Linked DNA regions of Drosophila melanogaster. Changing the gene in region 1 together with any one later gene gives a genetic interaction. Each region holds a gene or a part of one and is shown on either strand. Other genes may lie near its edges.

What was found. A genetic interaction does not mean that the proteins touch.
Region 2: of mei-P22 (region 1) and mei-41, changing one suppresses a phenotype caused by changing the other (phenotypic suppression), as found in Drosophila melanogaster (one study listed by BioGRID).
Region 3: of mei-P22 (region 1) and okr, changing one suppresses a phenotype caused by changing the other (phenotypic suppression), as found in Drosophila melanogaster (one study listed by BioGRID).

What each region holds. Positions count from the first base shown.
Region 1 is NT_037436.4:7,242,637-7,245,897, reverse strand, and holds mei-P22 (meiotic P22), read right to left. Parts: upstream 1,511-3,261; coding exon 515-1,510; downstream 1-514. Other genes in the region: Cdc27 (cell division cycle 27), read left to right, coding at 1-66; mRpL50 (mitochondrial ribosomal protein L50), read left to right, coding at 2,009-2,038, 2,095-2,204, 2,264-2,693; Neos (neosin), read right to left, coding at 2,845-3,261. UniProt on the Drosophila melanogaster protein: Required for formation of the mei-W68-mediated double-strand breaks (DSBs) that initiate meiotic recombination.
Region 2 is NC_004354.4:16,389,956-16,394,754, forward strand, and holds the start of mei-41 (meiotic 41), read left to right. Parts: upstream 1-1,742; 5' UTR 1,743-1,805; coding exon 1,806-2,032; intron 2,033-2,091; coding exon 2,092-4,303; intron 4,304-4,360; coding exon 4,361-4,654; intron 4,655-4,728; coding exon 4,729-4,799. Other genes in the region: TH1, read right to left, coding at 1-437, 508-1,220, 1,337-1,399. UniProt on the Drosophila melanogaster protein: Serine/threonine protein kinase which activates checkpoint signaling upon genotoxic stresses such as ionizing radiation (IR), ultraviolet light (UV), or DNA replication stalling, thereby acting as a DNA damage sensor.
Region 3 is NT_033779.5:2,989,037-2,994,459, forward strand, and holds okr (okra), read right to left. Parts: upstream 3,724-5,423; 5' UTR 3,674-3,723; coding exon 3,671-3,673; intron 3,614-3,670; coding exon 2,299-3,613; intron 2,243-2,298; coding exon 2,089-2,242; intron 2,031-2,088; coding exon 1,625-2,030; intron 1,564-1,624; coding exon 1,400-1,563; intron 1,344-1,399; coding exon 1,031-1,343; 3' UTR 558-1,030; downstream 1-557. Other genes in the region: Bem46, read left to right, coding at 1-45, 123-301, 361-475; CG3558 (uncharacterized protein), read left to right, coding at 4,699-5,372.

The DNA of each region.
Region 1 (3,261 bases):
ACTTCGGAGCGTTCCGATGACTCGACGCAGGCGCAGCAGGACGGAAGCTACGACAGCGACTACTAGGGAGCTGCAACTCCAAATTCACGCGGTTGTATATACGTTAAATGAGAAACACAGTAAACAAAAAAGAAAACTTAGTAACAGATACAAAAAAAAACCCCGATCGATTGCTGCTGTATTGTCGTGGAGGAAAGGAAACCAATTATGAAGTATGATAAAGTCTAGATAACGTTTAGCATTAGTAATTTAAAATATACAAAAAAGTAAATGGTTTAAACAAAAATTGTGCACTCTGAAAGTCTAAGGCAAAATAACGAAAAAGAAACAACAACAACAAAAAACAACAACAATTAAATACCACTTAAAAATATACAAAAAAAAAGGGAGATATACATTTTAAATGTTAAGTTAAAGCAACAAGGATCTTATGGGAATTAAATATGTTGGACTTGGACATTAAAACTATTCAAAGTGAAAACATTATACTACTGCTATAAGTTCCCCATCATATCTAAGGTACTTCCAATTCATCCTCTTCATGTTTTATCGGAAAGCGCAGGATTTGCTCGTGGCTCAAGCCCTGAGTGATATCCAGCACGCAGCGCAGTCGCTCCAAGTCAACGTTCAACATGGTGGCCAGTGTGGGCAGATGCTCCTCCAGCAAAATGTACTGACGCGGCCGCTGCATGGTCAGAATGCTGCTGATGTCCTTGGTGCCGAAGATCTCGCCAATGGAATCGGACAGCGAGAAGTTCAAGGAGACATCGGAGTCGAGATCCGATGGCGATTTGTTTACGATTTCACCGCGCCGCTCCGGAGTTTGGATCTCATCGGGTGTGAGGCTTAGATCGCTAAGTTGCATAGCTGGAGCAGATAAGGATCGTCTTCGAGTGGCACAGCTGGAATCCTCAGCGGGCGGAAGTTGATGAACAAAATGGGCGGGATATTTGGCAGGCAGCTTGGATGGCGATGGTGTGCTTCCTAGCTGATCGGTGGAAATTCTTGACTGCAGTTTCTTAGCCGGTTGCTTTGGTTTTCGACCACGTTTTTTGGGAGTGCATTGAATGCTTCTCCTTTGTGAATTCCTTTGATGAACTTCTTTCTGAATATTATTCTTCTTCTTTACGGTCTTTTCAACTTCATCTAAACTTTTGAGGTGGATAATCTTATATGGAGGCTTCAGGTGAACGATTCTATTGGAAGTTTTCAAGGGGACAACTTTATCCCGGGATCCAAGATGGACTAGATTATCCGAGGATCTCACGGGCACCAACTTAGCTGCAGGCTTCAGGTGAACCACTTTCCCTTGCTGCAACAATAGTTCACTGTAATCATCTTCAGTGTTTCCAAATAACTGAGGAGAAAGACTTTTGGGCGGAATCTTCTGCAGATCCCGGTTTTCCTTGTCGATGAGGCGCTGTGATCGCCGCAATGGGGAGTGCTGGGAGCCACCCATAAAGGAGCAGTAGGTGGAGGCCGGACTCGGGACAACTGTTGTCCTGTCCATACTGTTTTATACTACATAAAGAACACCAATGTAGTTTAAAACTATTATTCAATGCAAAATTATAAAAAAATAACAGTTGGCGCGATAGCAGGACTTATCAATTGAATAACAGGACCTTATTATCGACAAAAGCTTAGAGCTGCCACGCAATTTAATAAAGTTATCGTTCGTAAAGTTATGTCGAATTTAGATTTAAATTGAAATTGATGAGGTAATATATTTTTAAAATAAAATCCTATCACTTATTGTTGCTTAAACTAAAATTTGTTTCAAGAAAGACTATTATGAGATAGATCTTCGACTAAAAATAACTCAATACTCATAATGTTTTCATTTTTTTTAAGTTTGTTTATAAATTTAACAGTGGGTAAACAGTGAGTCCACCTGGCAACGCTCAATGCAGTATTTTTGTGTTACCATCTCCTTACCTGTAAGTATAGTGAATATATTTTCAGTATTGACTGCCATGCCGCATTGTTTTCAATCTGGTCACATCCAATGGCAGCGATTTTACGTAAAACCCTAATTGTAAGTAAAAAATAATAAAAATGTTCACTTAAAATCCAATGCCACCATGAATTTAGCTTGCGGGAAGCCTGCATAGGAGTTTTGCCTCCGCCGCCAAGGCCGCAAAAGCAAAGCCCGTCAAAACCAGCACCATTTCAGCTGTCGGCGAGTCCATCGCCGCCAAGGGGTAAGCACTTTCTTTAATTTATTTACATAAAAACCAAGTAAATATTCTCCTGATTGTAGCTTCTTGCGTCCCCATAAGCCGTACTCCCCACCTGCAGATGCCGCCGAACGTATTCGAACCGTAGCCGCCTCGCTTCAACTGAAATCCGACCAGTTGGGGAATCTCTCCGAGAAATTCGAATTCCTGAACGCGTGCTTCCAGGAGCTGCAGCACGGAGTGCCCAACTCCCAGGTACATGAACTGCGCACCGTCAGCGATGTTATCGCTTTCTACCAAACAGCTGTGGACACCACCGTGCCGTTTGATGCACTGAAGCGCATCGAGCTGCCGGAGAATTTGCACATCCAGTACGAGTACGTGCGATTCCATCCCGAGACAGATACCAAATTCGACGGCAAAACGGCTTTCCCCAAGAGCTCCACCCTAGTCACCGGTCTCAAGTACCGTGGAAAGTACGAGGGACACGAAGCCAAGCGATCCTGGCCTTAGAAACAGCCAATTGTTAGTTGTTAATGTCTTACACTTATTAAATGCATTCTGGAAGCCCGAGATTTACGTCATATATATTAGGTATTACATTTATTAAATGTTAAATATGCTTAATGGCTAAAATTAATGAATACTACTAAGTATTGGTAGTCTATAAATACTCGGCTAAAATCTGTCTGAGATCCGAGTTGTAAACACTTTCCAGGGCCGCCAACACTCGATCGTCAGCAAGTAGCTCCATTAGCCTTCTGTCCTCCTTGACTGCCTCGAAAGTGGGATACATGAGCTCGCTGGTGACATCGGTTACTGCCGGCTTGTTCATGATGCTAAGAATCTTCTTCTGCAGCTCGATCTCTGGATCGGGAGCTTTTAGCTTGGCCAGAGCATTGGCCTCGCCCACCTCTCGCTTCAGTTGCTCCTCGCGTTCGCCTTCGAGGTACTTAAGAATCACCTCGTACTGCGACGCGGTCAATGGATGATTGTCTGCCAGCCTTTCCAGCAGCCCCTGCATTTCCTGGGGATGTCGTCGCTGTCCCTTGTGTATGGATGTTGACGGCGGTAAGACGAC
Region 2 (4,799 bases), on another chromosome or scaffold:
TATACAGCGTTTGCAACTCGGCGATTAGCTCGGTGGATCCCTGGTCCACATTACAAATGGTGTGTGCCTTTTCGATAGCCTGAATGGTGCTCTTTAGCTCCTCCTTGTTTAGCATGCGCTCAGTCATTGGTCGCTTTTTGGCCGGCTGGTCGATGACCGCGGACGCGTAGGCTAGCAGAAACATATACTTCGGTTTGTGCTCGGGATTGATTTTAACGCCGGAACGAAAGAGCGCGTCTACCAGTAGCTCCAGAAACTGGGGGTTTCGTATCAAGTCGATGGGCGGTGGATCGGAACCGGAGTAGTTGCGAAACAGCACGGTGATATCGGCGGGATTCAGTGTATTGCGGGTGAGCATGGAAGTTAGGGCTTGACATGCTTGCGGATAGACTGCCGAACCATTCAGGGCCATTGTAATAGGCGTTACATTTTGATTGCTAAACAATGAAGCAAAAGAAAGGATTTATGTTATGACTAACTATGTGGAATCGTCAGTTATTTTCATACTTCTGCAGGGCGTATTTAATAATTTCCTGAGAGAGCCGCTTCATGTTGAACCCACCCTTCTGCTCCTGGCTGAGGACCTGGATGAGCACCTGGGAGTATACGTAAGTGTGCTGGCCATGGCAGACCATTCGTGCGCACTCCTGAATGGCACCGTGCACATCATCCGGATTGTTTAGAAATTTGACGATCGAGGTCTTTAGAACCCGCGAGAAAACCTCAATCTGCTGTGCCGCTGTCGAAATGGAAGTGATCTCGCTCTGGAAGCCCGCGTCCGAGATCAACTTGATTGTAAAGTTCAGCATTAGACAATCGGGATATTCTTCGGCCAGTCGGTAGATTAGCGAGCGCCACGTATAGTGGTCGATCATCTCGGTTAGCCAGTCGGGCGTCTCACCCTCCTCCGTGAATATGGTGTCCGCCTTCTTGGGATCGAAGGACTTAAGAATCATTTCCTTGAGATGATTCTCCACCATGGCCTGGACTTCGGTAACCTTGACGCCCGCCAGGATGAGCCATTCCGCAAGCAGGTTGGCCATCTGGGCCACCGCCTTGTAGTTCTCGGATAGCATCGATATAACCTCCTCCGGAGATCCGCCCGACTGAAAGTAGCGCTTCAGCTGCGTAAATATCCCCGGCTCCATGATGTAGTCCGGTGTGAGGAACTTCTCCAGGCATTCCTGTATCGTCTTCTGCGGATTGTCCTCAAGCGTTTCCTTCGATTGGGATGGGATAACATGATGTTTAGTTGTTATTTTTTATGGTTTATCTAGTAGCGTCATCAAATTGCCGGGATTGCCTGCCACGCCGTACACGCTCTATACTCAATTACCTCCGGATTGGTTTGTCCTTTGGCGCGGCCCTGCCAACCAGAGTCGTCGTATTCCACTTCCATTTTTTCTCAAAAACTTATTTACAATAACATAAAAATATTTTTCTTATTTTGATTAACTATGCATTTTTAGTGTGACTGTAAATTGTTAACCACGACGCGCACACCTACGCGGGTTATGCGCCGTTTACACTTAGCAAACTCTTCTGTTAATTTCATATTATGCAATGTAAATCTTAAATTTGAGGAGAAAAAGAAAATTGTCAATAAGTGTAAAACGCGGTAATGTAAACATATATTAACTAATTTTTTTTTAAATTAATATATGTAAAATCGCAGTTGGAACGTGGCTGTTATTCAAGAAAAAGAAGAAGAAGCTGCCAAACATATCGATAGCCACAAGTGCGGCGAATGCCGGCTTTCGTAAACAAAGGTCGCGTTTTTGCGAGTTTTAAATAAACTTGGCAAAATGTCGACACAACGGAAGGATATGTGGAAGTTGCTTTACAACCACGTAAACCGGAACGTAAGCAACTTTTCCGGCGTGTACAGCGTTATAGAAGACATATTGTGCCAGGAGCCGAGTCTGATAAGCTGTTCGTTGGTGCGGGAGCTGCACAACAAATTCCAGGACACATTCCTACTCTGGCTGCTCAACAAGCTGGCCAAGTGCCTTAGTGAATCTCCAGATAGCAGGTAAGATGAGCCACAAGCATTGGACTCCAAACTTATGACACACCGTTTTTCTGCTGCAGCGAGTGCATCAATCTTCAAAGGAAAATACTGAGCTCCTGCTGTTCCAATCATCCTAAGCTTTTTGAACGCCTTGTACTGGCCTATGTGGAAGCCATTGAGGAGACGCACCTTCAGCTAAGTTCCCTGGACCTCGGCCAATTGAGTAATGAGCGAAAACCCGCCATAACTGTAAGAATATTCCGATGCGATGTGGAATGCCTGCAGGAGTTCGATCCGCACTGCGCTATCGAGGACATCAAGGTGCCCCTTGAGCAAGCCGACATGTATGCCAAGAGCCTGCTGGAGGTCCTCCAGCATGCCCATCACATTGGATACGCCACGCACGGCGACATCTTCTCGGGCAGCCTTCATCAGGCTCTGCTAATCCTCAAGGAGTGCGACATGGACACAAAACTGGCCAGCTTGAATTACTGTCACAATGTCCTACGATCACAGTCGGCCAGCAGCTGGATAACAAATCCGGACGTTGGACATTATGCGCAATTAACGTTGGAGGCGACGGCAATCATGTGGTCGGCAGTAGCCAAGTGGCTGGACATGGGATGTATGACGCGCCAGGAGCTAAAACGGCTCAATATAACAACAAAGCTACTGCTAGAAGTTCTGCATATGCGTGCACGTCCAGCCCACCATCTTGGCTACCTGCTTTTGAACGAGATCCTTAGTTTGCCGACAGCCATTGAATTGGACGATGGACTGCTGGAGACCCTAAGTTCCTATATTCAAGGCCAGCTAGAGCATTCGGTTGTACCATTGGAGCAACTGGTGCACTTGCAGCAGCTTATGTTAAGCCATTGGCACTGCCACCCCACACATTTGGTGCCCATATTGGCGCTAATGGGCTTGAAACAGACTGAGATGCGCTCAGGAGTGGTCCAAGTGCTTACCCAAAGTCTCGTTGAAATCTTGAAGAAGGAAGAAGTATTGTCGAAGGATTGGCAGAAACTGATTGCTATTTTACGAGGCTTCAAGCAGCTGGAGAAACTAATTCTGTCACAGAGTCAGCATAAAATAGCTGAGCACGAAGGTCACATCGATTCCTCAGTTCTGGCCATGTTACCGCTGCAGTGTGAAATCATAAAGGTTGCGGATACCAATTGGAATAACCTTTCAATGCAGCTGGTTGAGCTGGAATCAAAGTGTTCCGCAGACCGAAGACACATACACTTGGAAATCTGCTCCCTTTTGATGCAAATCACCTTCATCCGGCACTTTTTAAAGACTCAAACGCAACACCAGCTGCTGGCCATTCTTCAGCGACATTTGAAGCTGTCCTACCTTTGCGCCATTCGCTTGGAGACACCTTCTAGTGTTCATACCCAAATGCAAAGCTTCTATGCCCAGCAGTACATGAGGCTATTTCAATCCGAGGAGACACAGGAGATATTCTGTAGCAACCTTCCGCAGTTGTACATATCGGGTTTCATAAAGCCGGAGCAACTGATGAAAGCTCTGCCCACCATTAACAATCGTAGTGGCCGCGCTCAAGTTATACGCCTATTGCTCTGCTCCCAGCCAGGTAAATTGAGTGTCTTTAAAGTCAAAGATCGCATTGAGCTATACTGCCCGAAATGCAGGCCACTGCCAAAGAAACTGCCAGGTATTTACCTCGGAAAATGCAAGCAACAGCTGCCATGTCCAGACTTTTCAAGCACCAACCTCGAAATGATAGCAAATGATTTATTGTTTTATCCCGATTTTGAATGTATTGCCCAGCATCTGGACCTTCTGTGCTTTGAACCCAATGTGATTCTTGGCCTGCTAAGAGAAACGGAGGCACTGCAAAAGGTTAGCGTTAAGGTTATCGGCCAGCTGGTCTCTGCGATGCGTGTGCGTTCGCCAGAATTCTTGGAGCAATTAGCCAATCTTGTTCTAGCTGCTATAAAAGCAATGCTAGCAAAGCCACTGACAGAGCAAAATGTGCTGCAGCAAAGAAGTATGCTCAACGTACTGACCGCCATTGCGCACATGGAGGATAATGAAATCTGGCTCTTTCACTGGTTCAAAATGACATTCTTCTTTCTGGTGCACACTCGCTCACTGGTGGCGCAAGAAGCTGTGCTGGCGGCCACCGAGATGTGTGCCAGCCAGGGTCTGCAGACGATTCATCTGTGGAACTGGTACAAGCGAGATGCTCTCGACCTCACCGTTCGCCTGGCTTTGAACGTTTATCTTTTGGATGGCGTACGCTTCACCCGATCCCTCCGAGCGGTGCGTAAATAGACGAACTTTTCTTCACTTCCCAAAATTTGACCGGTCTGTTTGCAGCTTACGAAAATGTTGGGATTCACGTGCGTTCAGGAGTTCACCTGCAAGTATCATCGCCTTCTGACTGCCATGGTCCTGCCGCATTGCATCGTGAATCCGCTTTGCAAGGGAGTTTTGGTATTGATAGCCAAACAAATGCAGAAACACATTGGCACCTTGTTCTCCATCTCGTTCCTGCGGATCTACACACACGTCTTCCTGACCGAGGAACCGGAGTTGGCCAATAGTTGCATCGAGCTGGTGGTCAGTTGCACCCAGTCCAGCCTGCAACAGCTAATGAATGCGGATGTCAAGGTGGGCAGAAGTTAATTTATATTTTATTATTTTATCTTTTATTTTATTTTATTTGATTTGGTTATCACTTGTAGCAAACGGTGGCCGAGTTGCTTATATATTTCAACCGAAACCCCACATTCGTGATGCGATCCTTTCAAAGCCT
Region 3 (5,423 bases), on another chromosome or scaffold:
CATCCCGCTGTGAAGTATATACCAAATCTATTATTTAAGAATAAGGTGGGTAGTCGTCGCCGGTTGAGCCCTCTGTTTACTTTATCTCATTACCACATTATTGTTTGTTGTTTCACATGCAGTATCACTCCATGAGCAAGATAGGCAAGTGTTCGGTTCCCTTTTTGTTTATTTCGGGCCTTGCGGACAACTTAGTGCCACCGCGCATGATGCGTGCCTTGTATACCAAATGCGGCAGCGAGATAAAGCGCCTGCTCGAATTCCCCGGCGGATCGCACAACGACACTTGGATAGTGGACGGGTATGGCCGGCAATTAATCTTCACTTTCCCATTTATCCATGGGTGTGCTTGCTTTTTAGGTACTATCAGGCCATCGGTGGGTTTTTGGCCGAGCTGCAGCAACAGCCGCTCCTCAAGGCGCCGGAGAAGAGCAACGTCTGGGTGGAGCTGGAGCATAAAATTATTGATGTATAGACCCGAATACATCAAGTGTTCAATTGACTGTGTTAACACTGCGAATGGTTTAATACTTATACATATACACACGCATAATATTAATCTGTATCTGACAGGGTTTTAATCCGGACGTTGCTATACGCCAAATTGCTTTTTATGTGCAGAGAATAACGTGCTAGCGGAGATGGCTGTTGATTTTAAGTAACCAACTTAAATAACTTTGCGCTTAAGCAAGTGAATACACACTAGAATCCGAATTTCGATGTTTGCTTGTATTTGTCCTAAGCTATGTTAACCTACTACTTTGCCCGATTGGCGGCCAGTTAAGAGTATAGAAATTGATCAGTATTTCACAAAAAAGTAAACTATTTTCTGGACTGACTCCTACATTGCCAGATTAGTTTATAGAAGCCTTCACCCCTAGCACGTTAACATTTTGTGCTGGTTCCATTTTTGAAATGTTAAATTAATAACTTGTTAGGATTGCAAAGGAAGCCAGAAAAAGTTATCTTAAGTTTAGACTTAAGTGCGAAGAAAAAGGAAATTCGAGAAACAATAAACTGCAAACAATTGCTAGAATCCACGGAAGTCCTCATCGGCACTGTCATCACTGGCGGGCGTGGATGATCGTTTGCGGCTTTCTGGTTTTTCCTCTGGCTGATCTGTTGCTTCCTCCTCAGCACTCGGCACAATTTCCTGAGCCTGCGATCGGTGGTGGAAGACAAAGGACACGCACTTGCAATCCATCCAGGCCTGGGCGAGAATATTGTCAGGCAGGCCTCTGTTGTTGGAGCAATGGTACCATTGTGACAAATGCGAGGTGCAGTCCGTGTCCTCGGGCGGTGGCTTCATTTGTATATTTTGAACGCAGCGCTTACACTTGAGCCTGAAAAGATATGTTACACGATCATGATCTAAAGGGTATCCAAAGCCAGTTCTTACTTGTCGTGTGTGTCGGACAGAATGTTCGCATCAAATGTAAACAAGTCCTTCAGATCGTCGCGGGTGAAATGCTTCTCGGCCGACTCGTTGTTGTCAATGATGGTGCTCGACAGGGATTTTTTGTGCGTCTGTCGCTGCAGGATCTTCTCCTCGATGGAACCACTCTGAAAGAGATTTCTTGAGTTGAAAAAGAAAGTTCCGTGCAGAACCAATTCAGGTACTCACGGCAACGAGGCGATATATGTAACAGGGCTTCTTTTGCCCGTCACGCCACACTCTGGCCATTGCCTGCTCATCGTTGGCCGGATTCCAGTCTGGGTCAAACATGAACAGGCGGTTGGCTCCAATCAAATTCAAGCCGCAGCCGCCAGCCTTGCTGCTCAGCATGAAAAGGAAGCTGTCAGACTCCGGGTCATTGAATCGGTCAACAACCTTCGATCGCTTCTTGATGGACATGGTGCCATCAAGCCGGACAAATCCGTACTTTCGCTTCCTCGCGAGCTGCTCGAACAAGTCCAGGGTCTGTGTGTAATTGGAAATGAGAACCACCTTGTCGTTGCCCTCTGCACGTATTGCTGCCAGCATGAAATCCAGGAGCATGAACTTGCCACTTAGCTCTGGATTGAGATCCCTGGAACACAAAAGATTCATTAATAGCCATTGCTATTCGCGCGCAACAGGCGACGTACTTTGGTTTGTAATTACTAGGCAGCACATTTTGGGAGTTTTCGAATCCCTTTTCCCGCGCAGTGAGCTTCTCATATATGAGATCCGGATGACTGCAAATCTTCTTAAGCGTTGTAATGTCTGCCAGCGCCGTAAGCGAAGCCTTTTCATTGCAATCTTGAAGGGAATTGTAAATGGTAGGAATGTTGTGGTAGTATTGCCTAATGACTTACCCGCCAAACTACGTCGAACTTGATCAGACTTCAAGAAATTCGTGTATAGCTCGAGTTGAATCGCCGTCAGTTTCGCACAGATAACCATTTCAAACTTAACCGGCAGATATTTGGTTAGAATTTGATTAGTGCGACGAATGATGCACTGATCGACCAGACCTATCAGCTCCTGTGTCTTCTCTATGGCCCGTTGTCGCTCCTGTTCCGTGGAGTCAGTATTCTGGCCCCGCAGAATAGCGCTCTCGAAGTTGCGCTTAAACACGGCCGCCGTTCCCAGCATCTCCGGGTTTACAAAGTTCACCAGGCTGTAGTACTCAGTAAGATCGTTCTGGATGGGAGTGCCGGAAAGCAAGACCCGTCGCTTTGTCTTCAGTCCCATGAGAGCCTGATACGTCAGATTGTCGCTGTTCTTGAGGCGATGTCCCTCGTCGCATATCACCATTCCCACCTCGTACTTGCACAGGATCTCCGCGTAGATGCGAAATGTCTCGTAGCTGATGAGCAGAACAGGTGTCCCCAGCCGGGCAGAAGTCATGGAGAACTGCTCGAGTGCTCGGATGGTGTTCTCCTTGGTCCCGCCCTCCATGGGCAGGCAAAGGAGTCGACCGTGAAGCCACTTGGTAAACTCCTTCTCCCAGTTCTTAACCAGCGATGATGGAGACACGACAATGGCTTTGTTGATCGTCGGCTTGCACTCGGGCCCCTGCCTTAGAAGTGTCCAGACCAGCGTTACGCACTGCAGCGTCTTCCCGAGACCCATTTCGTCGGCCATGATGCATCCATTGAAGTTGCCCCGCTTTCCCTCCACACACTCGTACATGAAACGCACTCCCTCGCGCTGGTGCGGCCGCAATATGTTGCTCAGCAGCGGATCGACGACGACGTGCACCAGAACCTTGGTCGGATCCATGCCCATGCGCTCGTGTTCTGTGTAGGCGGGTGGATGGAAGAGTACCAAGGCGTTGCAGGCCATCGGATCGTGTAGGGGTCGTCGGGAAATGCAGCGCCGCACGCCCAGGACCCGTTTACCACCGTAATCCGGTACGTAATTGTCCATGGGCACCTTGAACTTCCGTGCCAGAACCTTGGCAATGGCCAACTCATACTCGCTGTTCGCCGTGAAGCGAATAGGCAGTGGGAGCTCTGATGTGTTGCTGGCATCTCGGAGGGCGCCCAGTCGTCTTCTGTCCAGTTCTTGCTCTCGCTCCAGTTCCTGCTGGCAGGATCGCTTGTTTTTCTTCAGCAGTGGCGGCGTGAAGGAGTGACGGGACTCGGGACGCAGTGGTCCACGTTGGCTGGGAGCCAGACTGCGCCGCTTTAGGAATAAATGATTAGGGAAATGGAATTAAATAAATCAAATTTTTGTATTTACCATTTCATTAAATTCAAATGGCGGTAGCGCGAACAGCTGATAGAAGCGCGGAAGTCTGGTCACACAGGCGATAAGAAATACTGGTAAGTGGAACGCTGGGATAATGAAACAGAACGCATTTAATCAAACTAATACTTGTGATCATAGCACGCTGTTTTAAAAGTGAATAGATAATTAGATAAAAATAAAACTAAAATGGAATTGCTACACCCCGATGTCAAAAATTCCCGATGTATCTCAGGTATAATCGAAACATCGATATGTTATATTGATAGCTGCTCATCGCTAACTTTCTATTTCCGTGCAGATATAATTGTAAATATTTACGCAGAATTGCTTTGGAAACACTACGAAAATAGTGCAAAATGAGGCAATAAAGTGCGGGCCGGACTGCCTTCCCTTTCTTGACTTCAAAACCCGCGCCAAAAGCGCGAATTTCGTGCTGCAAGAACGCAAATCTAGTCCGCAAATCTGCGGAAGTGTTGGTACTACCACTTAATTGTATTTGTAATTGTAATTGCCAAAGTGCCAAAAAAAAAAACGCTGCAAATGCTGCAAGCGTGAAAACCCATCTAAGAAGGGCCACTAAACAGTAATGGGTGTAGATGCACGATGCACGGAGAGCGGAAAGCAGCGGAGACGATGACGATGATCAAATCTAAATTCATCAGGTGAGCGAGCAGCAGCAGCAACAACAACCACAGTGAGTGCCCAAATAGGTGGGCACACGTACACAGGTGTGTGTGTGGCTGTGTGCGTAAGTGTGTCACTTGTTGTTCTTGGGAACATTAGAGAAAAGTAAATAGCGAATATTCAACTAAAGTGCGTCTTCTTTTAGCTTCTAAATATTTAAAAAGCGAGCAACATTGAAATACTCACCACTCACACAGTCGGACAAAAGCACAAAACGAGAGATAACAGAGCACCAGCACCACCAATTCATGCCAAACGAAACGCACACGGAGCAGTTATCAGCGGACCAGCGCCACTAAAAGCCACCGAATCGCACACACACCGCACCGACAACGATGTGGCTGCGCCAGAGCAGCGGTGGAGGCGTTGCCTCCGTCGGACACGTCGGCCCACTGCGACAGCGACCCATCGACGCTGCCACAGACTGCGATCCGCGCGCTTGCTACGACAGCTTCTGTAAGCACTGGCAGCAGGCCTTCGAGATCATCCAGCACAGTGCACCGCCCTCGCACGACGACGTGCTGGGCGTGGTCTCGCACTTGGACTACATGGTCACCCTGCTGCTCGTGGAGCTGCATCACTGCAACAAAGTCTCGCTGCCGGCGGCCGAGGCTAGTGGTCCGCCTGCGGCGCCCTGCCTGGAATTCCTGCTCAGCGAGAATCTGCTGGACAAGCTGTACGAGTGGGCCTGCACCACGGGACGGTATGCCAACGCTGTGAGGCTGGAGCAGCTGAAGCTGTACGAACTGCTCGTCAGCCACTCGCGCCACCAGCTGCTCTGCCACGAGCCCTTCCTGCGACCCCTGCTCAAGATACTGGCATCCAGCCAGGGCGAGATCTTTCCGCCCGATCTCGAGAAGCGCCTGGTGATCCTGCTGAACCAGCTGTGCGTGGTTCTTATGCAGAATGTCCACCTGCTGGACCTCTTTTTCTTCTCCGCCCAGACGCAGGTGCAGGAGCAGATATTAAATGGCAACGTGGCGCCACCCAAAAGCGGAACCACTACCAAGTAAGCTCATAACTTTTAAACATTCCAATTCATTCAGCATAAAAAAGAATA